Linked DNA regions of Tribolium castaneum. The protein of the gene in region 2 purifies or fractionates together with the protein of the main gene of each other region. This does not show direct contact. Links are inferred from orthologs where the notes say so. Each region holds a gene or a part of one and is shown on either strand. Other genes may lie near its edges.

The links.
Region 1: the proteins of aurA (region 2) and Dcr-1 purify together in Homo sapiens (affinity purification with mass spectrometry; 4 studies listed by BioGRID and IntAct, counting the BioPlex papers as one, with this or other methods). This does not show direct contact. The link is inferred for Tribolium castaneum from reciprocal best matches to the Homo sapiens genes AURKA and DICER1.
Region 3: the proteins of aurA (region 2) and Cdc37 purify together in Homo sapiens (affinity purification with mass spectrometry; 3 studies listed by BioGRID and IntAct, with this or other methods). This does not show direct contact. The link is inferred for Tribolium castaneum from reciprocal best matches to the Homo sapiens genes AURKA and CDC37.
Region 4: the proteins of aurA (region 2) and ArfGAP1 purify together in Homo sapiens (affinity purification with mass spectrometry; 3 studies listed by BioGRID and IntAct, counting the BioPlex papers as one, with this or other methods). This does not show direct contact. The link is inferred for Tribolium castaneum from reciprocal best matches to the Homo sapiens genes AURKA and ARFGAP1.

The regions. Positions count from the first base shown.
Region 1 is NC_087403.1:8,546,933-8,553,025, reverse strand, and holds the start of Dcr-1 (endoribonuclease Dcr-1), read left to right. Parts: upstream 1-2,777; 5' UTR 2,778-2,901; intron 2,902-2,962; 5' UTR 2,963-2,993; coding exon 2,994-4,262; intron 4,263-5,400; coding exon 5,401-6,093. Other genes in the region: probable elongation factor 1-delta, read left to right, coding at 1,038-1,318. UniProt on the Homo sapiens protein: Double-stranded RNA (dsRNA) endoribonuclease playing a central role in short dsRNA-mediated post-transcriptional gene silencing.
Region 2 is NC_087394.1:2,111,382-2,117,543, forward strand, and holds aurA (aurora kinase A), read left to right. Parts: upstream 1-2,396; 5' UTR 2,397-2,481; coding exon 2,482-2,908; intron 2,909-5,122; coding exon 5,123-5,664; 3' UTR 5,665-5,790; downstream 5,791-6,162. Other genes in the region: mitochondrial inner membrane protein OXA1L, read right to left, coding at 5,852-6,006. UniProt on the Homo sapiens protein: Mitotic serine/threonine kinase that contributes to the regulation of cell cycle progression.
Region 3 is NC_087398.1:2,272,323-2,277,435, reverse strand, and holds Cdc37 (hsp90 co-chaperone Cdc37), read right to left. Parts: upstream 3,224-5,113; 5' UTR 3,097-3,223; coding exon 3,064-3,096; intron 3,017-3,063; coding exon 2,726-3,016; intron 2,679-2,725; coding exon 2,400-2,678; intron 2,325-2,399; coding exon 1,836-2,324; 3' UTR 1,723-1,835; downstream 1-1,722. Other genes in the region: Spase25 (signal peptidase complex subunit 2), read right to left, coding at 589-775, 821-979, 1,032-1,165, 1,213-1,278, 1,371-1,406; queuosine 5'-phosphate N-glycosylase/hydrolase, read right to left, coding at 3,533-4,429, 4,483-4,578. UniProt on the Homo sapiens protein: Co-chaperone that binds to numerous kinases and promotes their interaction with the Hsp90 complex, resulting in stabilization and promotion of their activity. Inhibits HSP90AA1 ATPase activity.
Region 4 is NC_087394.1:1,533,787-1,539,682, reverse strand, and holds the start of ArfGAP1 (ADP-ribosylation factor GTPase-activating protein 1), read right to left. Parts: upstream 3,975-5,896; 5' UTR 3,829-3,974; coding exon 3,769-3,828; intron 3,699-3,768; coding exon 3,313-3,698; intron 304-3,312; coding exon 45-303; intron 1-44. UniProt on the Homo sapiens protein: GTPase-activating protein (GAP) for the ADP ribosylation factor 1 (ARF1). Involved in membrane trafficking and /or vesicle transport.

The DNA.
Region 1 (6,093 bases), on a different chromosome or scaffold from region 2:
GTCTGCGAGGGTAGAGTTTAAAAACCTACATTTCTTTAACATTTTAAATAGCTCTCTCTACTTTTTGAAACATTTTTGGATGGGAGGCAATAAAGTTAAGCGTGGAGAAAACTAATATTTGTTGACTTTTTTTAGTTAGGGGTAGCTTCAAAAAGCAGGGGGTTTCATTTAAAATTTCTAATTAAGGATGGTTAATTTCTAGGGGATGATGTATGTTAAGAATTCTACTCTATCTTTAGCACAAGAGGGTAGAGGGTGGTTTGGGCCGACAAAGGCCCAGAATTGGGAGCAGTAGTATTAGTAAGTTAGTAGTAAGGGAACCCTGTTGACGGAAGACAAAATAATTTGTTATTGTTAGAATGTTAGAAAATATTGTTATTGTTAGAAGGTGGTGTTTTAATGCGAATAAACATACAGTTTTTTAAATGTGGACTGTATGTTTATTGCATTAAAACACCATCTTCCAACAATAACAACTTTATTTTGTCTTCTGTCAACAGGGTTCTCTTACTGCTAACCTACTAATACTATTCGCCCAACTCTGGGCCCTTGTCGCGCCAAATCACCCCCTACCCTCTTACGCTAAAAGTGGGGTAGAATTCTTGTTTAAATTAAACTGGCTTAAAATTAAAGACCACTACGTACTATGACTAAAAATTTTTAAAATAAAGTTACCTCTAACTCAAAAACTATATTAGATATTTTGAGTTAATAAATATCGAAATCTTTTAATATGAACAAGATAGTACACGTATTTCAACAAAACTGACTTCAGGGAAAAAACGACTGATTTCAGAATAGGGGTTGATAGGCAAACATTTTCTGTCGCAATAACCCCCTAAAGTGTGACAACATATTTTTGTAATAACCTTGTACAGTATATTAAAATTCGCATACAAACATGCATATAAATATAAATACGTATGAAATTTAAAAGTGCATTCTCGCTGACGTTTTGGCGCGCCGTTTGCTGATTGGCTAAAAGTAACATAGTTTTGACGCCTCATAAAAAAACTAAATTGGTTGTTGATTTCCAGAGCCGGCTTTAATCGCAAAATCGAACGTGATCCTCGACGTGAAGCCCTGGGATGACGAAACCGACATGAAAGAGCTCGAAAACCAAGTCAGGAAGATTTCATCGGACGGCCTCCTCTGGGGGGCCGCCAAACTGGTCCCTTTGGCTTACGGCATCCACAAATTGCAAATCTCGTGTGTTGTTGAAGACGAGAAAATTTCAATTGACTGGCTACAGGACGAAATCACAGCAATTGAAGACTACGTCCAGAGTGTGGATATTGCGGCCTTCAACAAGATCTAAGCGACCCTTTGTACTTTTTTATTTAAATAAATAAAGTGGCCCCGGTTTCATTTCCAAATAAATATAGTTAATTTTTATCTGTGTTTTATTAACCATTTCGTTTTTTTTTTATTTTTCCACATATTAGTATCGACTTTGCAGTCAATTGTGATTTGGCACAAGCATGGCTCTTCTTAGGAAACTAGTGCCTTACTCTATGAGAACTCATAGCAATAAAAAACTGTCAAATAAAAAAAAAATCATTTCTAATAGCAATTAAAATGTGTTGAATAAAGTTGTGTATAAACATTAATAAATTGTGAACGGTGTCTTTAAATGCCAGATTCATTGCTGACGACTAAACATATTTCGACTATTCTACACATTAACGGATCAAGAAAAAAAAATGTACATAGTTTCCCCATCTAAGAATTCTACTTTGAAGACACAGAATTAAAGCAAAGTCAAGCCGCAGAAAAAACACTTTTATTTTTTGAAATTCGAGAACTTCAAAATACGAGTGTGCTAAAAAGCTTATTTAAGCAGTTAGGCACGCTTTCTATCTACCAAAAAAAGTGTTTATCACTCATTACCACATAATAAAATATAAGTACAACAACTTTTCTATAAAAGCATTTTGCAAAAGTATTCATTATTTTTACTATTTCCCTCCTTTCCTGTAATAATTGATTCGCCTTTTGGGGGCCATTCTGAACACTGTAATGAATTTTTAAAGATAAAGTTTGCGAAATCGGGAAATTTTAAAGAATCTTTAAAAATTCATTAAAGTTCCAAGGGGTACTTTATGATTTTTTTACAGTCGAAGGCCCTATCGAAGAGCTTAATTTCCTGCAAAAATAAAGAAAATTGCAGGATATAAAGTGGGTGAAGAAAATAAAGTTTGCAAAATAGAGGAACTTTATAAAAATTAAAAAAAATTGTTAAGGTCCCAAGGGTGTTTGTCCGAACATGATTTTTTTACAGTCTCCTGCAAAATAATCTCCTGTAAAAATAAGGAAAATTACATAATATAAAGTAGATGAAAAAAAAAGTTTGCGACATCGGAAAATCTTTAAGAATCTTTAAAAATCCATTTTTACAGTCGAAGGCCCTATCGAAGGACTCTTCTTTTACAAAGATAAAGAAAATTGCAGAATATAAAGGGGGTGAAAAAAAATCAGTTTGCATTGCTTGAATATGAGAATAAAAAATGCAGAAATTAAATACAGTTAAGTTTTAATTTGTAATAGAAACACATTATAATGGTCAGGAGATTTTCTACAAATGTGATATGCAAGTCAGCGTAACAGCTTATTGATGTTTTTATAATGATTTACGATTATTTTGATAAATTTTCTGGTGTGAATTGGCTGCAGAAAACGAGAATGGTGGGGAAATAAATTGTCTGGTCGACTGTAATATTGATGGTGCCAGCACCATTTTTGAACCATGCTCTTCACCGACATTCAATTTTTTTGGAGTGATTGTCAAAACGCTGTCAACTGTCAAAACCCGCTCGGTCTGTGTGGTGTTGTTTGAATCTAAACTGGTATTTTTGTGATAATTTGTATATTCCAAGTGAGAAAAGATGTATCCCGTTGGTGGTGAGACGTCTCTAAGTTAGTTCAATCATAATCAGCAATAATAGCAACGAAAAATGCTTAGATAAGTCCTCCGTTGTGTACAGCACCCCTACATGGCTTGTTATTTAAACGAAAATGTTTACACGCACACGTTTACCCCACGAGAGTATCAAGTGGAGCTGCTGGACAGCGCTAAGAAGCGTAATACAATCGTATGTTCGAGTGCGAGTTCGGCGAAAGCGTTTATAACAATAAAACTGCTGCAAGAGTTCTCCCACAAGATGCGGGTGCCCCACGGAAAGCAGGCTTTATTCGTGCTGGACGGCCCGAACGTCCCGATAATGACGTCGCACGTGAAGCTGCTGACCGATCTGACCGTTACGAGCATAGATAAAGAGGAAAACCCCCCGTCGTTGAAGGCAAGCAATGTGATTGTGACCACAGCCGAAGTCTGTGTGCTTCTATGTAAGAAGAACTTCGTTCATTTGGACAGTTACGCTCTAATCGTGATAGACTGCTTATACGGGGGGCAACAGTCGTTAGTTAGGGAAATTATGGCCCGGTATCAGGCGATTCAAGCGCCCAGACCTCGAATTTTGGGCCTGACTGCCGGTCTTTTGGGCTCCGAGATGCAACCCGATCGTCTAGAAGCCGAATTACAACGCTTAGAAAAATTACTTAGTTCCTCGGTAGACACTTCTAGTGAAATTCTCACGCTGATACGCTTATCTTGTCGGCCGCGCGAACGCATAGTCGAGTGCTTTAAACCCATTCCAAGCCCTTTGCAGGACAAAATCAAGGCCACTATAACCTCCTGTCAGGATTTCCTCAAGGACCACCGCTACGATCCGAGCGAAATCTACGACGATGACTTGCTCGAGGAATTCAAGCAAGTCCCAGACCCCAAGGAACAGCCTTTGAGCTTCTTCGACGACTTCCTCGAAATTCTGGACGATTTGGGGCCCTGGTCGGCCGACAGAGCCGCCTATGGCATGCTTATCAAGATCGAGAAGCTCAAAGTCAAAGTTCCTTACGAAAGACATTATTTATTGTTATGCGTTGCTTCATCAGTATTAGTTTCGATAAGGGCTCTCTGCGAACTCGAATTCCAAGACTACACAGATAAGGAAAAGGTGTTTCGTTTCTCAACGCCGAAAGTACTCAGATTTCTCCAAGTTCTAAAGCAGTTTAAACCGACCGGTGATAAGCCGGAAACTTGCGACAAACTACCAGACCTCAAAGACCCCAAGAAGGGAAAAGGGAAAAACTACAAAGGGCCCCGAAGGCCGTACATCTCGCGCGCGCAAAGCGACGAGATGCTCTGCGCACTCGTTTTCGTCAAAAATCGCTACAAGGCGGAGGCCCTCTTCGCCCTACTGTGTGTAAGTAAAGCAGACGTGTTCCTGTAAGGCTAAGGGGTTGCCCTAAAGTGCCATCGTGTTTTAATGCTGCCTGTCGCAAGGTTTTGCCACAGAACTAACACTAAAATCATAAATTGAAGAAGTACGTTTATTTTGTAACTTATGATCTGTTTAAAAACTACTTTAAAGCCCTTGATGTTTAACACAAAATTAAAACAGGAAAAATATCTGACAACTAATTGTTTGGACTAAAAAAAGGAAAAACTTTCTAGTAGTTCGTGATTTATTTTTTTTGGGGGTTTAATGAGGTCACGACTTCCCACTGGCATACTTTTAATGATCTGTCACAGAATTTTAGCGTTTTTTGTTGCAAATGTGTTCTATTTTATTTTTTAAATCTTTCACCACTGTGGAAGATTTTTAAGATAATTTTTCATTTTGTGCCAAAAAGACACAAGACATATTTAAATCAGGCCTGTTTGCTGACCAAGACATAACATTAATGTGAGAATTACCGAATCATTAGGTATTTCAAATGTTTTGCTGTGTGACAAGAAGCATAATTTTTTTGTATAATTTTTCAGTCGGTGGTAATAAATGTTTTTGCAAAATATATTTGATGGTGTTCATGAACTCAAACCCACACCGTTTACAAACATGTATCATACCATTAGCAAATTTAAGCGTACTTTTGAGACAGTCTTTGTGAAAGATCTCTTGGTTATTTATTACTCGTTTTTGAGAATTGAGAATTTCAGCAGTGAGTAATGTTTTTTTTTCTTGTTAATGATAGTCAATTTTGGTGTTAAATTTCTTAGCGTTTATATATTTAGTTGCCAAGCTCAAGTGGATATATTTACAAAAAACACTAGAGTATTTAGAGAACTGCATAAGTTTGAAGTGATTTTATTTTTCCTTTAAACGTGAAGCATTTACTTCTCTCACTTTTGCTAAGAAATTCTTTTCTTTTGAAAAGAAGAAGCAACGCAAGTCTAGTTTATCTTTAATAGTCTAATGCTATTTTTGTTTATATTTATCTGCTTGACTTCATGGTTTGAACTCGAGCTTCTATTCTTTGGGCAAAATCTTGCGATACTAAGCTGGTCCCCTCAGCCTTAGAAATTGATGGTTTGCCCGCTGATTGTTTGCATTGTGTCAGGTGATGTCAAAGAGCGACGAGGAGTATTGGTGGGTGTCGGTTTCGTTCTCCGTGAATAAGATCGCAGATCCGGTGCGCGAGCCTCGGGAGGCGGAATCCGAGCATAAAAGGCAGGAGGAAGTTTTGCGGAAGTACAGAAGTCACGAATGCAATATAATGATAGCAACGTCGGCGTTAGAACAAGGCTGTGATCTTCCTAAATGTAATTTAGTGATACGTTTCGATTTACCTCAGTCGTTCCATAGCTACATTCATAGTAAAGCGCGAGCGCGCGCAAACGAAGCTCATTTTCTTTTGCTAGCGAACGAGAACGAAGTTAGCGATTTTGTTGAGAATTTAGCCGAGTACAACGAAGTTGAGAATACGCTATTGAAGAGGTGTTACAGTTTGGAACCTGATAAGAATGAGGAGCTGGTTGCTGATGCTTCGTCTCTGCAATGTAGACCGTATCAGCCGTCGGCCGAACCGGGGGCTAACTCAGTTAGTCTCTCGAATGCTATAGCTTTAGTCAACCGGTATTGTGCAAAATTGCCCAGCGATACGTTCACCCGCTTGACGCCAATTTGGCATGAGGAGAAGGTCGAGAATGGTTATATTTGTTCCATTCGGTTACCTATCAATTCTCCGGTGAAGAAAACGGTGACAAGCCCTCCAATGATTAATACTTTACTGGCACGCAGAGCTGCAGCTTTT
Region 2 (6,162 bases):
AATAATTCAAATTGGATATTGAAACATTTAAAATTGAAAAAACTTTTTGACATCGTTGAATGCAGTGTGACATTGCTCGCCAAAGGTTGCTTAATATTTTGGATTTTTGGATAAATTCGTGGATTTAATTTGAAATCACACTACCAAAAGATGGCATAAGTAGTTTCTATTAACGACCGTGCCACGTACCCCAAATTTACAGAAATCTGCATAGATAACGCACGTGGCGCCGCATGTTGATAGTATGATTTAATAAACCATTTCTCCTATGCCGCTTGACTAACCCTGGTCGTGGGTCAGGATTCAGTTATTTGATTTACTTTAATTTTAGACACAATCGTTGAAAATAAACATAATGTCAGACGAATTACATTTTACTTATAACATTTAATAAATATCAAGACAATCAAGACTTACCTGTTAATCGATGCACAACACGCTCACGACGCTCACACGCTGCTACAAGGTGTCAACTGTCAACCACAGAACAAGGGTTAGTTCAAACCGCTGCCAACGGTCGCACGCAAAAACCCTAACCCGGTCCCAAATCCGGGGAAATGAAAATTTCCGGGAAAAACAACCGGAACTTGGCAACAATAAATCAAGTGACGTTTCGTACTTGTCTTTTTTTCCAAAACAAATGTCATAGTCACAATGCGAGAAAATAAGTGCTAAAGATCGGTTCGTTTTCTCATAAGATGGAAAATCCTCTAACCAAAAGTGAGGAGAAGAAGTTCGGGTACCCCAAAGTACGAGATTCGGACGTTAAAAATGAAAAACCCAAAGTCGAAGTTAGGCGCTTGCAGTACGACCCTAACCCTAAGGTCGGGGACTGGAAAAAGACGTGCTCGCCCAGCTGTTGCCCCTCGTTATCGGGCGAAGAACGCCTGGTTTGTATAATTTGATTCGATTTTGGGACCAATTTTCAAAAACGCAACTTGGCCACACTGTAGGGCGGCGTTGCCGGGTTGTGCCCTGGCGCACTTTCCGCAAGTTTATCGAACAGCTGGTAGGATTACGTAATTTGCGATAATATCCAACAAATGTGCTTTGTTGTCCCGATTAGGGAAAAAAATCAGTGATAAGTGGTACAGGGACTTGGAAATAGGCACCAAGTGGGGTCGCTGATGTGGCAATGCCATCTAGGTATATTGTATCAGAATGGCACAAACTACGTAAATTTGTATTACAAGAAAACAAAATAACTTGTTTTTAGATGTTCACACCTTTAATAAATTTTTTTGGTAAAGTTGTCTTTTTCGCCTATTTTTTCTGTGATGTCCGAAAAGGGGTGATCAGGTAATAATCCGTTTTGACCTGATAAGATGCGGTGCCGAATTTCTAGGACTCGAACACGTAAAGAGAGGGTGCCCGGTATTTGGGGATTCAATAGTGCCCAATTTATGCACGCCTGTTATCATAACTCGCCTGTTTTGGTAATAATATTGTCCGATTTTGGGAAATAGAAAATAAAGATGCAATAAATGATAATTTACTGGACACCCTTCACAGAATTCTTGTGAAAAACATTTTAACAAAACACATGGGCGGTTTATGGTTTATGGTTTACGGTCCTTTTAAGCAAACGCCGCCTGATGCGCAAAATAGCTTTAAACCGTTTGTTGTCGGTGGAGAAAAGGAGAGCTAGGGATCATAAACTAAATGAGGGGTACGTACATTTCGTTCATGAAAAATTATTTAAAATTGGAACTCGTAGTAAACGATTCTACCGAAAATTCTTTTCACTTATCACACAGTTGTGTAATTATAATTAATGAAAACAGTGATAGTACCAAGTTGATTGTAGTCTGACTGTTCATGTAAAGCTCTAATAAATTGAGTATAAATGATAATCTGTTAGCAGGCCCGGTAATTCAGCCTGATTTATTTCCGATTTTAATTCAATTTCGGATATATTTTTTAACATTGTTCCGACAACTAAAAGGCCATAATTTTATTTTTGAAAAATGTCTTTTTTATTGTTGAATTGGTGGTCAAAAGGGCATTGTGTGACAAAACCGATTTCGGGGTGAAATGGGGCGATAGTGCATTTGCGGAGCTATAAATATTGAAATTAGGTGAAAAAGTGGGAAAAATTAAGAAGCAATTTGTGGTAAATAATTGAGTTTTTCGCTATTAGCAAAGTGACTTTCTTAAAATGTCATTTTTAAGAGGGTGTTTAGTGTTTTTTCGGATTTTTATTTTATTAAACGGTTTCAAAGCTGACAACCAAACATACATCTACGCAAATTGAAACGTATTTTGCTAGTGTGAAACTGGCTTCATGTTCGGGTTTCTTCGGAATTTCGAGGAGCTGGTTTGGGGAGCTGTCTTCACACAAATTTGTTTTGGGTTTTTCGTGTTGGAGTGTTGGCAGTTGAAAAACCGTTGACTTACGAAGTGACAATTCAAATTCGAACTTATCACAAGTTGAAATTGTGCAAAAGTGTTAAGTCGGAGTGAAGTGTTTTTGTTGTAAATATGTCCCAAAGGAAGGCCCCCGTGTGCCAAAACAAGGAGAACAACGTTCCGCGCGCCGCGGCGAAAAAGGGCCCCCCGGCGCAAAAGGGGGCTCTCTCCGAGAACAAGGCCCAGAAGGGGGCTGCAAGTGACACGGCTCAGGAGAGTTCGAAGGGGCGGCGTTGGACCTTGGCGGACTTCGATATCGGGAAGCCCCTCGGGCGTGGTAAATTCGGAAACGTGTACTTAGCTCGCGAAAAACAGTCGAAATTTGTCGTTGCGCTTAAAGTGCTGTTCAAAAGTGCGATCAAAGACTTCAATAACGAGCACCAAGTGCGGAGGGAAATCGAGATTCAGTCGCACTTGAGACACAACAATATTCTGCGAATGTATGGCTATTTTCACGACGAGTCGAGGGTCTACATAATACTGGAATACGCCCCCAATGGTAAGCCCCCACGTACAGTGGTCCAAACTGCTCAAAACCCGCCAGAAATTGGTGAAATCATTAAATTTCATGTGTTTTATTAACAAAAAAACACATTTAAATTGGGGCTCAATAAACAATGAATGAAAAACAAGAGTTATTCGGAAAAATCTTCTAAAAGAAGAGCCTTCTGAAAGTTGCAAACTAAGCATTTTTGAATGATTTCAGTAAATGGTTGAGAAAGATTTATAAAATTTGTGGGTTAGTTATTACATTAAGTTAAATGGGGAACAAAGTTACTACTAAAAGCTGTCTTAACTAAAATAAAACCATTAACTACTATTTTAAAAAAACGTCTTGAGGTCAATACATTGGATACGGAAAAGTGGCTGACTATTATAAACTAAATAAAAACAATTTAAAACAATAAAATTTGTTTTTTCCATTCCCAAAAAAAAATATTTTCAATGTTGAAAAATCTGGAATGACGAGAGTAAGCTTTGAATTATCAGTGTTAAGAAGACTTTAAACTAAAATTTTTAATTTATGGTGCACTGAATTTGAAGGCAAAAAAATGTTGGTTTTTGTTACCAAATTAAATGAAAATGTATTTTCACTGTTTATTTGTTATGTCAGTAAAACTATTTCGCATTGTTTTGTAATATTATATTATATGAAAGTAGATTTAATTTTTATACTTTTTTTTACGAAATTTATTTTGATAAAACTTTGTAAATCGGTAAAAAAAGTCATGTCATATATACGAGAAATTATTATATTGAAAGTTATTACTAAAGTTCGGATTCCTAGCATTTTGCTAATTAAGCTTTTCTTTTTCAAATGAACCAATTTTCTTAACTTTTATTTGTCAGTTTGGCTAAAAAACTATGCTTTTATGCCAAAAAGCGTTTTTTCTGCTATTTTTATGCTAAGGTTGATAATTCTCAAGTTTTTTCAGTGTTAATATTATATAATAGTTTTAATTTTTCAAACTAATGAACATTTTGAGACGTCTTGGCGAAAAGTTTGACGAATGAAATTCAACAAAGTTGAAAACAGAATTTTTAAAAAATCGTCCTCGAATTTTTTTTGTACTAACAATTTTTTTAATAAAGGTTTGTTTTTGTAAAATATTTGATAAATAAATTTTATTTTGAATAGCACTGAAGTTTTCTTTAAAAAATGAATTAAAAAACTAGTTTTCTCCATTCATTCGAATCAATATTTTCATTGATAAAAAATCTATGGAATGACAACAGAAACACCTAAGCTCGACGTTTTTGTGATTTTATAAAAAAAACAAAAAAAATGGTTTAGACTACAAAGTTGAATGAAAAATTTATATTTATGAGTTTTTTGACATATTATTTATTTGTTGTATTTAAATGTGTAATATTGTGTATAAAAGCAGATTCATTTTTCACTTTTTTATTACTAAATCTATTTTTGTTAGCTATATATTGTTATTATTCTTACTATTATTTTGGGTTTGAAAAAAATCAAGGTGGCTGCGCTATTTAGAATTTAAATAGTCTGTTTTTTGGCATTTATCAAAATCTAACGAAAAAAGGGACCTTTTAACACAAATATTTTTTTTCAATTAAAATTAAAATTTCGAGTTTTTAGTTAAAAAAAAGTGAAAAAGAACATTTTTTTGACCTAATTTTTTCTGGTCGAAGACGTGCTTCATGTTTTCCTAAAAACGAAGAATTTTAAATTTGTTGATAAAAAACTAATTAAAATTAAATAATGTTCATTTTTTTAATTGTCCGCCAGTTAAAGCGAATTCACAACAAAAAAATAAAAAATTAATCGTTAAAAAAAATAAAAAAATTACGTGATTTTAAACATACAGAATTTTAGACAAAAAGGTAAATTTTTACCATAGAAACGTGATTAAAAAATTACCATCTTTTTTGTTTTTTGTAAGTTTGAGCGCATAGAACATGCTTAAACATTCAAAAGAACTCAAGAATAATGTAGTTTTCAACATAAATACCTGTGGGTGATTTTCTAGCCAGTTTGAACAAAATATCGCTAAAAAAATTACGTTGTCTTCCAATTTTTTTGAAGAAAAACATCGCGGTATTTTTGTTCCAATACAGTTTTTTTAGGAATTTTTTGCATCGTTGTTTTAGAAATCAATTAATTAAATTAAAAGAACATTTCGGGGGTGTTTTCCCCACTTTGGACCACTGTGCCCCCACTTTCCACCTTGATAACCCCCCTGTTTAGGCACATGCTACAAGGCGCTGCAAGCAGCCCCCAACAGGCGCTTCCCGGAGGAGACATGCGCCCGCTACATCCGCCAAATTGCGGACGCTCTCAGTTACTGCCACACGAAGAAAGTCATTCACAGAGACATAAAACCGGAGAACTTGCTACTTTGTGCCCAAGGCCAAATCAAAATCGCTGATTTTGGGTGGTCTGTACACGCCCCCTCCTCCCGTAGGACTACTCTCTGTGGCACCCTTGATTACCTCCCGCCTGAAATGGTCGTGGGGCAAACACACAACGAAAAAGTGGATTTGTGGAGTTTGGGCGTTTTGTGTTTTGAATTTCTGACAGGGAAGCCCCCATTTGAAGCGCCCACGTTCGAGGAGACGTACCGGAATATCAGCAAGGCCTACTACAAGTTTCCGCCGTATGTCTCCGAGGGGGCGCAAGATTTGATTAGGAAATTGCTTGTAGTTAATCCAAATGAAAGGCTTGAGCTGAGTCAAGTGATGAAACATCCGTGGATTGTCTCGCACACAGAGGAGAAGAGTAGTCAATAATTGTGATTTTTATTTAAGATTAGACTAAACACTGTTTTGTGTTTTTTTCTAGACTGTTTTTTGCCATTTTATGTGTACATTTATTCTTTCATTTGGGTTAGTTTTTAATTATTATTATTTTAAATATAAGTTGAGAATGTTCATAAAACTAAATTATTTATTTGTTTACCTAAATCCGTAACAAATTTTACCGTTTTTTGGCACTAATCGCCGATGAAGTCTGTTTTGTTGGGTCGTATTTGTAAGTCTTGACAATGGGGCCACGTCCAGCTTTTTGAAATTGCATTTCGTCTATTCTTTGACGTTCCTCCAATTCGCGTGTGATTTTTAAGTTAGTCCACGCTGTAAAACACAAATTAAAAAGTAACACGTGAAAATAATCACTTTCTATATAAAACAGCTTAAACATTCAATTGATGAATAAAAATACCAGTTTAAGAAAACCTGCGCGAAAAAAAATTGGTTTTTAGCTCAAAAAATGGTAAAAATGATAACATT
Region 3 (5,113 bases), on a different chromosome or scaffold from region 2:
AGAAAAATTGTTGCCGTGATCCGGGTGCGAACACCCGACCTCCACCGCCGAAAGTGGCGCTTATACCACTCGGCCACCAAGGCCCTGGGTACCGACCGTCTTTTGCAGGTATTTTAACACAAACTTTTTAAATAAATCAACATTACAAACTATATAAATGCAGTAATTCACCTTAAACGCAAATACTTTGTATCACCTTATTAAACTTCTTAGGTAGTAAATTAAATAATTATAAAATTGTCTTGTGCACTGCTACGCGGATAAACGAGGTTCTACTGTAGTCATGTCCTCTTTTTTATTGTCTTGGGAGGAAGGTTTAGATTTTTGTGGAATTTTTCAATGGGAACAGAAACACGATTTTTACCTCCATAATTTTTATTTTTTCAATAGAAATCGATACAGTTATGTTGAAAATTTTTTGGCTGTGCGTTTCCGATAAATCGCAAACAGTTTTTGTTTTGTGCGTAGAAAGGCGTTTATGAACAAAAATAAAATAATCATTGTACTAAAAAAGTAATGTATTAGAGAAATTTACAACTCAAGTGGAATTATGCAATAAATGCCTTGCTGACATGACAATCTCGAGAGCTATTTATCTTTACGTTCATTCAACAGAGAATTGTGCAGCTTTGAAACCTCATTTTCCACAATTTCGTGCACTACACTACCGTTGACGTCCACAAAATTTGCAACACTTTTCTTTAAGCTTGTCTCCCGGAAAGCCCCAGTTTTACCATCTTTAAACGTGAGAACCAGTTTATATTTATCATCGTATCTAAAATAAATAATAAATTACTGTGGTTTTATCTTTGGGACCCACTTTTTTAAATATGAGCTGGCTTCCCATATGTTATCGCTTTTCTGACCGTCCTTCTTCTGCATACATACAGCGAAAATACCCTTTTCTACATACATGGTGTACAACGTTAGAATGCCCATCATTGTGAAATAAGTGCCCACACAAAATATTAATATAGGTCTGAAAAAACGCAAGTATTTATACAGAGGGGTGGATTATTTGAGACTCTTACTTAGAAAGTGGAAAGGGATATAAATAATCCCACAGTAAAGCAAACATGGCAACTCCTACTGCAATACTACAAATTACAAGGCGCCCATCCATCAATTTAAAATTTTCTACGTAATGATACTTTTTAGTAAGTACCTAAAAAATACTATTATAACAATGAACAGGGAGTCACGGGACCTCACTTCTTTTACTGCATCGTCTATGGCATTTTTCACAGCTGAACCGTCCCATTTATTTATTTTAACAGGCTGCAACAATAGGTTATGAAGCCAAATTTACAATTTTTTCCGTATTTAAATAACAAGCGTGCAAATTACGTGTTCATTCATTTAAACTGTACCTTATCATCCTTTTCTTTGCTTTCTTTTGGGGCCATAATCTTAACTGACTGGTTAAATTTTCAATTTTTTATGTGGTGTTGTCGTGTCTTGTTGTTGCGACACGTCAAGTGATGCGTCAGAACACGAAATATGGGAAACGCGAAAATACACCAACATCGGTGAACAAAAGTAACTACGCTTTTTCAAAAGAACGGGTTTTACCAAATATTTTTTTTAAATAACGTTGATTGTTATATCTGCCACTGAAACTGTAAATTCGTTTGGCTATTATTTTTTTCAAGTGGATGATTAATTTAAGTCAGTGAGAGAAAATGCGGGAATTGGGATGGGTATAAGAAAGTTTACGTCAAGTTTATAAAGTAAAGAAATTTATTAATCTTCAAGCATTCCTAATAAATTAATACAATAAATTTGCATTCTTAGGAAATAAAGGCTAAATAACAAAAATTGTAAAGCAAGTGACTTTAGGGTTTTGACTGCTCATCAGAAGGCCCAGCTTCTTCTTCTTCCTTCTTTTTGGCATCAGGTATCCAAAGACCCGCAGCAACACACCTCTTCATGTGATAGTTGGCCTCTTCTTCATCCATTTCCTTGATTGTGTCTTGCAACATTTGGATGTCTTGCGTCTCGAAACATTTTCGTAAATTCTCGGGAAGACTTTCCAAGACTTCAAGCTGATCTAACCCTCCTGGCCCTATCCTCGCTTTCCTCTCCTCCTCCTCTGCTTCTTTTATGGCCTCTTCAATCTTCTCAGCTGCGCGTCGTCTGATCCTCTCCTTAAACTGGTCTAATTCATCGTCAAACGATTTTTTGTAAAGAGGATCAGCTATTTGGATTTTGGAGAAAAAGGGGTCCACGCAGCCGCGAGGGTCGTAGTCTAATTGTTTGGCTAGTTCTAGGATGTACTGCATGCAGATGGTCTGGTGCGCCACGTGCTCCATAAGGTCATGTTTCTAATTAAAAGAACAATACATAATTTACCCCAACAACTCAGTGTTGCCAATATACATTTTTTGCCACAATCTTACCTCTTCCATTTCTAAATTGATGCACCAGATGACGAGGTAATTAGCTGTGTCTTCGCAAACCAATTCAAGGTGGTCCCTGAGAAAAGCCCGAGAGTCTTCATAACGTCGCAACATTCCAAAGTGCTTCAAATTCTTCTCGTTTTCTTTTACAAAATTTTTCATGCGACTTTCCTTCTCTTCATCCGTTAATTGTTCGTCCTTCGGTCTCGGAGCTTTCTTATTAATAACAGTCTTTGCAAAACCTGGCTGACTAATTGTGTCCACATTCCACGGGGCCATCTGTAAATCACTAAATAAACATTAGAAGAACTAACATTCGTACAAACTTTTTCTTTCTTCTCGTGTTCTTCCTGTTTCTTCTTAATCGCTTCCATTTCCTTCTCCAGCGCGGCCAGAGCGTCCTTAAGTTCCCTCAAATTCGCATCTCCGGCCTTCTCGGCTTCCGCCAGCTTCTGCTTGGCTTGCGAGACCTTCTTAGCATTTTCCTCCCTCTTTATCTGGATTTCTTCCGCTTCTTTCTTCATTTCTTCCATGCGCTCAACTCTGGCCTGGTGCCTCCACCGGAAAAGTGAAGGGGTGTCAATATTTGGATGCGTCTCATCCTCATCGTCGGAAATCTGCAAAGCACCACCTAACCTCATTTTTTCCTCCCAGACTTCACTACCTCAATATTCTTCCACTTGCTGTAATCGACCATGACGCCAATGCGAATTTTGATTCCTCCAAGAAAATACAACAATAAAACACTTGCACTTTTGAAATAAACAACAAACGTCACTTTGCTGCTCCTCCGCCCTCTGGCTGGCTTTCGCGAAACGTCGGCAGAGGATCATGGGTAGGGAGACGAGGGCAAATAAAATTCCAGAATATTCTTTCAATCATAATCTAATACTTTAACTTTAAAAACATTGACACGATTAATCTTAAAAATTACTGATATGAAATAAAACATGACAGCATAGTTGGCAATGAAAAAGTACGGTTCGGTTTGTAACAATTGTAACCATGACTACCACCAAAATGCCATATCAAAGTTTCATGGCCAACCGCTCCCTGAAATTTTCGATTAATTACTAATAAATTAGCACATTGATTCGGTCAACTCCAATTTTAACTTGATATTGTCGTTCGATTTAGTAATAAATGGAGAACGTTTTGTGGAACGGCAACTTCTTCTCCACGATTTCCTTGTTATGTTCGCGTCTGAAGTCCCACAAGAAGTGATCGATCAAAATGGCATTGATTTTCGTATCAGTTAGTTTTTTATTGGCATGTTCTTTTAGCAGCTCGACCGCATGGATGGAGCAAGCTCTGATCTCCACTTCGTCCTCTTCCCCGTTTTCGAGAATTTTGTTGTCTTGCAGTTTCTTCTTCAAATCTTCGCTGTACTCAAACACCCCGAAATATAGGAGAGATTGTGGGATTCTATAATCCGCAAACATTGTTATTTCATCGATATCTTTAAAGTGCCCAAGTCCTTCGTTCTTGAAACAGGCCCAAATGTCGCCAATTAAAATCTGCGCCCGCTTGTAAATCGCAATTTTCTTGTCTTTGTAAGTCGCTTCGTCCTTGAAGCACTTGAAATTGTTGACGATTAGGTCCAGAAGGGCCACAGCGCTCTTGTCAGCCTTTTTCACGCAATTTTCAAACGAACCGTCGAAAGTTTCAAGAAGGACGTTCCCAACTTCGTGCAAGCATTTGACGCGTTCCTGGAGGAGTGGAATTGGGACATCGTTGTCGCTTCTGAATATTTTCGCAAGGTCTTTTTCGGACACTTCAGAGTAGTATTTCGAGTTCAAAATATCCACTTTTTCCTTCACGGCTCGATTAATAGCCGCACAAAGGGCAAAATAACCAGTGTAGCCCTCCACAGTCCAGCCAGCTTCGGTTTCTAAGTGCCAGAAGCAAAAATTCAGAGTGTCCACGACAAATAACCAGTCAAGGGCTTTGGGATCGTCGGATTTTGGGTGCAGTTTCACTTGACTGAACTTCTCACTGGACAATTTCCCGCTTTCGATCTCGCTAACCAACTGGAGATAACAGTTAAAATGTGCCTTTTTTCGCCTGATACGCACGGACTTACCAAATCCCCCAGTTTTTTCACACCTTCGTCTTTGATTTTCACGTTTTTGCTAAGCGAAGCAACGAGTTTGCCTGACTCACGAGGTGATAAAGCCATTTTCTCTTGATATGTTGTGAAAACGCGGAGCTTGTAAAATCACAGAACAGTAAAGGTTAAGAAGTGATAATTCCCTAGTAAATCACTGGCAACACGAGAATACAGCGCCTCTGGTGCTGAAGTGCGTTACTACCACGGTAAAGCGCCACGTTTGAATAAATTCCTTTTATATTCTGTTTTTTATTATTTTTATCTTACAAGTTTTATTGCAAATTGTTTAAAATAAAAAAAAATATTTTCATTTTAAACGAAATGAAAACATTTTATATTTATTTTAAACAAAATTTGCAATGAAACTTACAAAAAAAGTTGTTTTGGGGTAATAAAACACAGATTTTGTTAACATTTTTATTGCACACTTGAGTAACATAACAAATTAAATTTTTCAAAAAATTAAAGTATTGTATTATTTCTTAATTATACAAAAATTATCAAAAAATTGAATCAGTCAGTGTTGGCATGTTTTGCCTGTCTGCTCCAGACTTAAAACAAAATAAGGCCTTCTTTGCAATGACTTTTACCTTGTCTGTCAGCA
Region 4 (5,896 bases), about 580 kb from region 2:
AAAAAAATCACTAAAGTGCCACCAACCCAAATAAAAAAAATTACACTAGCTAAAGACGACATGGCCGTATCGACGAACTCCTGCGATTGGCTACGAGGGGGCGCCTCCATCGTGTACCCAAAACCACTGTACTTCCCCCCTTGACTTGGCGGTAAATCCCCTCTTCGATTCGCATTCTCGGCCTGTTTTTTCGCAAAAAACGCCTCCTTCTGGTCTTTGAACTCGGGCGAGGTGTAGTTCTGATAGCCCCCTTGGTACGACTCGGAGTTCTGGTACGTGGAGGCGTTCGAATACGAATTGCTACTACAAGGTGTGTTAATAATATATGATTTTTATTAATATTGTTAAAACTAAAACAGTAAAACCGTTTTTTTATTGTTTTTATTTTTTTTTAACAGTAATTCCTGAACTGATTTAAAAATAATTTTCGGTATATGTATTATGTAAAATGAGCCGTAGAATTCAATTGAACAAACCGCATTGCTCTACGACTTAACTTTGTTAACTTTTTACATTTTTTTTTATTTTCTCATTTACGGCTAAACTATTCTAAAAAGTGGATTTATTTTGATTCATACCTATGCAAAATGATCCGAGGAATCGATTGGAATCTAAAAAAGCGCCAAATTCCCAATAGTTTTTTAGTTATGAATTTTTGTGTACATGATCTAATTTTTGCTTTTATTTGCATTTTCTCGAAAACTATAAGTCGGACAACAATAATCTTTTTTGTAAATGATAGATCATTAAAAGAGCTTTCCAAAGATAGTACACATCATAGGGTTATCTCTAATAGTTCCGGAACTATTGCTCGAGAAATGTTCCGGGTACCCAAAATCGACAAAATTTGCGACGAAAATTGAAAAAATCAAACATCAAAAAATCGAATATATGGACTTTTTGTGAGCTTTTAACAACTTTTGAGGGTTGTTAAAACATGTAGAAGTCCATAAAAATTTACTGGAGTGAGTTTAAAAAAAATTTTTTTTCACCTCTTTGAAGGTAAGTGTGTATTACTCAGAAAATATTAGCAAAAAAATTGAAAATTTTAAATCTCGAGAAAAGCTGGTATAATACAGAAAATGAGCCGCTGAATTCAATGGAACAAACCGCATTGCTCTACGACTTTTAGTTTTCGAGTTATGAATTTTTTTGTTGAATTAAACTGTTCACCATAAATACCGCTACGCTAAATTTAGGCAAAAAATTTTAAATTTTTTATTCTTGTGAAAAATTGATATATTATGTAAAATGAGTCGTAGAATTCAATGGGACAAACCGCATTGCTCTACGACTTTTAGTTTTTTTTTTATAAATTTTTTTAGTGAAAAACTTTGATCGCCTCTGTAGCCGGAACCGTTGCCCGGAGCGGCACCGGGTTTGGACGAAAAAATAGAGAAAAATAAGCGCTATCAGATGGATTTTTGTTCGTTGCTCTAAGTCTTACAGTTTCCGAGAAAAACGCGAAAAAAGGTTTCCATTTTCCATTTTTTTCAATTTTCAACCGCCAATTACGGCGAAACTATTAGAGTTATCGAGAAACAAAAAAATGGAGGACACCCGGAATAAAAAACTCTACAAAATGGCATAGGACTCAAGGCGATATTTCGCAAAAAAATTTTCAATTTTCAAACGCCGATTACGGCCAAACTAAAAGAGCTAGGAGAAAACGCTTTTTTAGATAGGAAAGAGCACATCAAAATCTATAAGATAGAATCGGTTTTATTTGATTTTAGGACACTTCAAAAATTGACCGATTTCTAAGGGGGGCCCCGGGGTGTTAACTTTTTTTTAATTTTTTTTATTTTCTCATTTACGGCTAAACTATTCTAAAAAGTGGAACTATTTTGATTCATACCTATGCAAAATGATCCGAGGAATCGATTGGAATCAAAAAAAGCGCCAAATTCCCAATAGTTTTTTAGTTATGAATTTTTGATTACATGATCTAATTTTTGCTTTTATTTGCATTTTCTCGAAAACTATAAGTCGGACAACAATAATCTTTTTTGCAAATGATAGATCATTAAAAGAGCTTTCCAAAAATAGTACACATCATAGAGTTATCTATAATAGTTCCGACGTTATTGCTTGATAAATGATCAGGGTACCGGAAATCGACAAAATTCGCGACAAAAATTGAAAAATCAAACATCAAAAATTCGAACATATGGACTTTTTGTGGACTTTTAACAACTTTTGTGGATTGTTAAGACATGTAGAAGTCCATAAAAATTTACTGGAGTGAGTTTAAAAAAAATTTTTTTCACCTCTTTGAAGGTACTTGTATTTTGCTCAGGAAATTTTAGCAAAAAAATTGAAAATTTTAAATCTCGTGAAAAGCTGGTATAATACAGAAAATGAGCCGCAGAATTCAATAGAACAAACCGCATTGCTCTACGACTTTTAGTTTTCGAGTTATGAATTTTTTTGTTGAATAAAACTGTTCACCATAAATACCGCTACGCTAAATTTAGGCAAATAATTTTAAATTTTTTATTCTTGTGAAAAATTGATATATTATGTAAAATGGGCCGTAGAATTCAATCGAACAAACCGCATTGTTCTACGACTTTTAATTTTTTTTTATGAATTATTTTAGTGAAAAACATTGATCGCCTCTGTAGCAGGAACCGTTGCCCGGAGCGGCTCCGAGTTTGGACGAAAAAATAGAGAAAAATAAGCGCTATCAGATGGATTTTTGTTCGTTGCTTTAAGTCTTACAGTTTCCAAGAAAAACGCAAAAAAAGGTTTCCATTTTCACTTTTTTTCAATTTTCAACCGCCAAATACGGCGAAACTATTAAAGATATCGAGAAACGGAAAAATGGAGGACAACCGGAATACAAAACTCTACAAAATGGCACAGGACTCAAGGCGATATCTCGCAAAAAAATTTTCAATTTTCAAACGCCGATTACGGCCAAACTAAAAGAGCTAGGAGAAAACGCTTTTTTAGATCGGAAAGAGCACATCAAAATCTATAAGATAGAATCGGTTTTATTTGATTTTGAGACACTTTAAAAAATGACCGATTTGTAAAGGTGATAACTTTTATTAATTTTTTTTTATTTTTTATATTTTTTTATTCTGAATAACAATTGGAAAAGGTGTAGATGCAAATCATTTTAAAGCACCTTGTATTATTATAACTACTAGTGTTGCTAATCAAACTCCCAAGCGGCATTTTTTCAATTTGTATTTCAGAAAATATGAAATATATTTCAGAAAATCTTTTGTAAAGAAAATTAATTATTCACCTTTTCTGAAATATATTTGATACATTCTGTGGTTGCAAATCATTTTAACGCACCTTGTGTTATTATAACTACTAGTGTTGCTAATCAAACTCCCTGTGTAGTTCTGAGCCGGTGACGATTTCTCATCCCAGGCCTTCCCCTGAGCCAAAGCCGCGATCTTGTCTCGGTAAAGAGCGGCCGCTTTCGTGTTGTACTTCTGCTGGATGCTCATATGATCGTCCCAATCGTCCTGCGCTTCGAAAAAAACTCGCGCGTTCCGGTTGCCCCCCACTTTCATTTTCTCCAACTCTATGTCCTTCCACTTGTCCATCGTGACCGAGCGGACGAAAGACAAGTGCACCCCCAGCCCCCGGTGCTTGCCGGAGCACTCGAGACAGATCCATATGCCGTAGGTGACGGAGACCCACTGGGGGTTGTGCGTGCCGCATTCGAAGCATTTCTGCCAAGACAACGGGTTAGAAAGGGGGGCCCAGAAGGCCAAAGGCCGGAAATGACCCCATTTTACTTACATCGTTCTCGTTGTGGGGCTTGAGTTCTTGCAAAACGCGGCGGGTTCGGGGACTTGCCATTTTGGGGCAGTGGGTGAATTGGGGAGACGGCGGACTGTGGAGGTGTGCAAAGTCAACACTGAGACATGTTTTATACAAAAGAAATTAATTTTCGTTTAAATAAGAGAAATGTCAAAAAATTGTGTTGACGTGTGGGTTTACAATGCGGCGGAAAGTGCCCATGACCGAAGACGCTAACTAACCGTGTGGCGATTTGTTCGAAACCACATTTTTGCCTGTTCTTTTATTAATTTTGTACCACTTGACTCAATTATTAAATTATTTGGTATAAGTATTTACCTGGAGGGCAAACAAATTTAAAAAAAAACACAATTGTTTAAATATTTTCGGACTTATGATTCTTCCGAGCAAAAATCGGTAAAATAGTTGCGCAGTGAATTGGGCGCAGTTGTGTACATTTTTCAAATTTTGAAAATAATTTAAGAAAAAACGCACCAAGGGGACAGAAGGCAGTCTCAGGTGAGCCAAAACGCACTTTTTTTTGTCAAAATTGCCCAAAAACTGGCCACCAATGTCCATAATCTCACTTTTGGGAATGAAAGTCCGGGTGTTATTTTTGCTTGTATTTACAACAAATAGGTACAGGAATGTTACAATAAATACATTTATTACTCCAAATGTGTCGTAACTCAAACCTACTATCTACAAGCGAGAGTTAATTTGTGACGAGCATCGTGTTAAATGTTAACATACACTCCCTGAAAAGTAAAAACGAAACAAATTGACTAGATTGAAAAACTCTTTATGAAAACAACAAGAGTTAAGCTTAAGTTTAAAAACCTCAGTCAAATTCGTGTTTTTAAACAAAGTTGTAAAAAACTTGATGGAATGTTAATAACAAAACAACTCCAACTAGTCGGGGGGCAAGCACTTCAAAAAAACGCTCATTTCTTATAGGAAATTTTCAGATGAATTCAAATCACAAGTTTGAAACTTTGAAATTGGGCAAATTTTGGGTTTATATCGGATCTTTCTTCTGGATAAAGTCAGAAAGTTCATTATTTCTACAGTTAATGTAGAATTCTAGAAATACCAAAGCCGAAATAATTTCTGATATAAATGATTAAATAGTTTTTGGAAAAAACTTTATAAAAAAAAGTATTTTTAAAGATAAAAATATGAATTTTTGGGTAACTTTTGGAGGCTTATAATACCACAAAAAACGTTTAAAAAAATAAAAAATACAGATCTTTTTTTTTGCTTAATCCGTGTCCCTCGTGAGACACCCTGTACATGTATTTTCAAGGGATTTGATAACAAAATTAATTAAACAGCAAATTCAAACAACTTCAAAAACATCGATAAAATTAGTTAAACAAAAAATGGCATCACTATTAACTTTAACTTAACAATTAAATGGTTTTTAATGAAAATAATGATTAAGTTTACCAATCTTACCACAATGATTTGAACAGAGAAGTAAGTCTATTATAAAGTTTATAGTAGTATATTTTATTGTAACTTTTAAATTCTATAATACAGGATTTATTCGTTGATAAGTTGAAAACTATCAAAAATTTTACTGTTTTTTCAATGCTAATCAATTTCTCTGATCATCTTACGTAGGTTTTCATAAAAATAAAGCGTTTTTGTTCAGTATTAAAGGTGTTGTACTTGAAATTAAATTTACTGTATTTTCGTAACTTGATGTATATTCACTGAACATTAACCTTTATTTGGGCTTAGGCAGGCCTGTTGGTTAATAAATCAATCATTTATTTATTTAAAATAGTTCAATATTTTTGGATAGTTTTTCATAATTTTCTTCTTCTGAAATAAAAAAATCTCGCATTTCTAAAATTTCACGACAATTTACAAGAAAAATTTAATTTTCAAAATTTTATTTTGCCAAAACTCGAGCTTGTGTATGTATGTACGTTTGAAACTACATTAACTGACGTATCTTTTGCAAAAAAATAATTTTCTAACATTATCCAGAAGGAAGATATCCTACCGAGTTGAAAAAGTCCATAACTGACCTTTAAATAATTTATTGAAAAATATATTTTTTCCAAAAACCGTAATACCAACACCTTGACTGACCTAAAATTATTCTCAAATATACAGG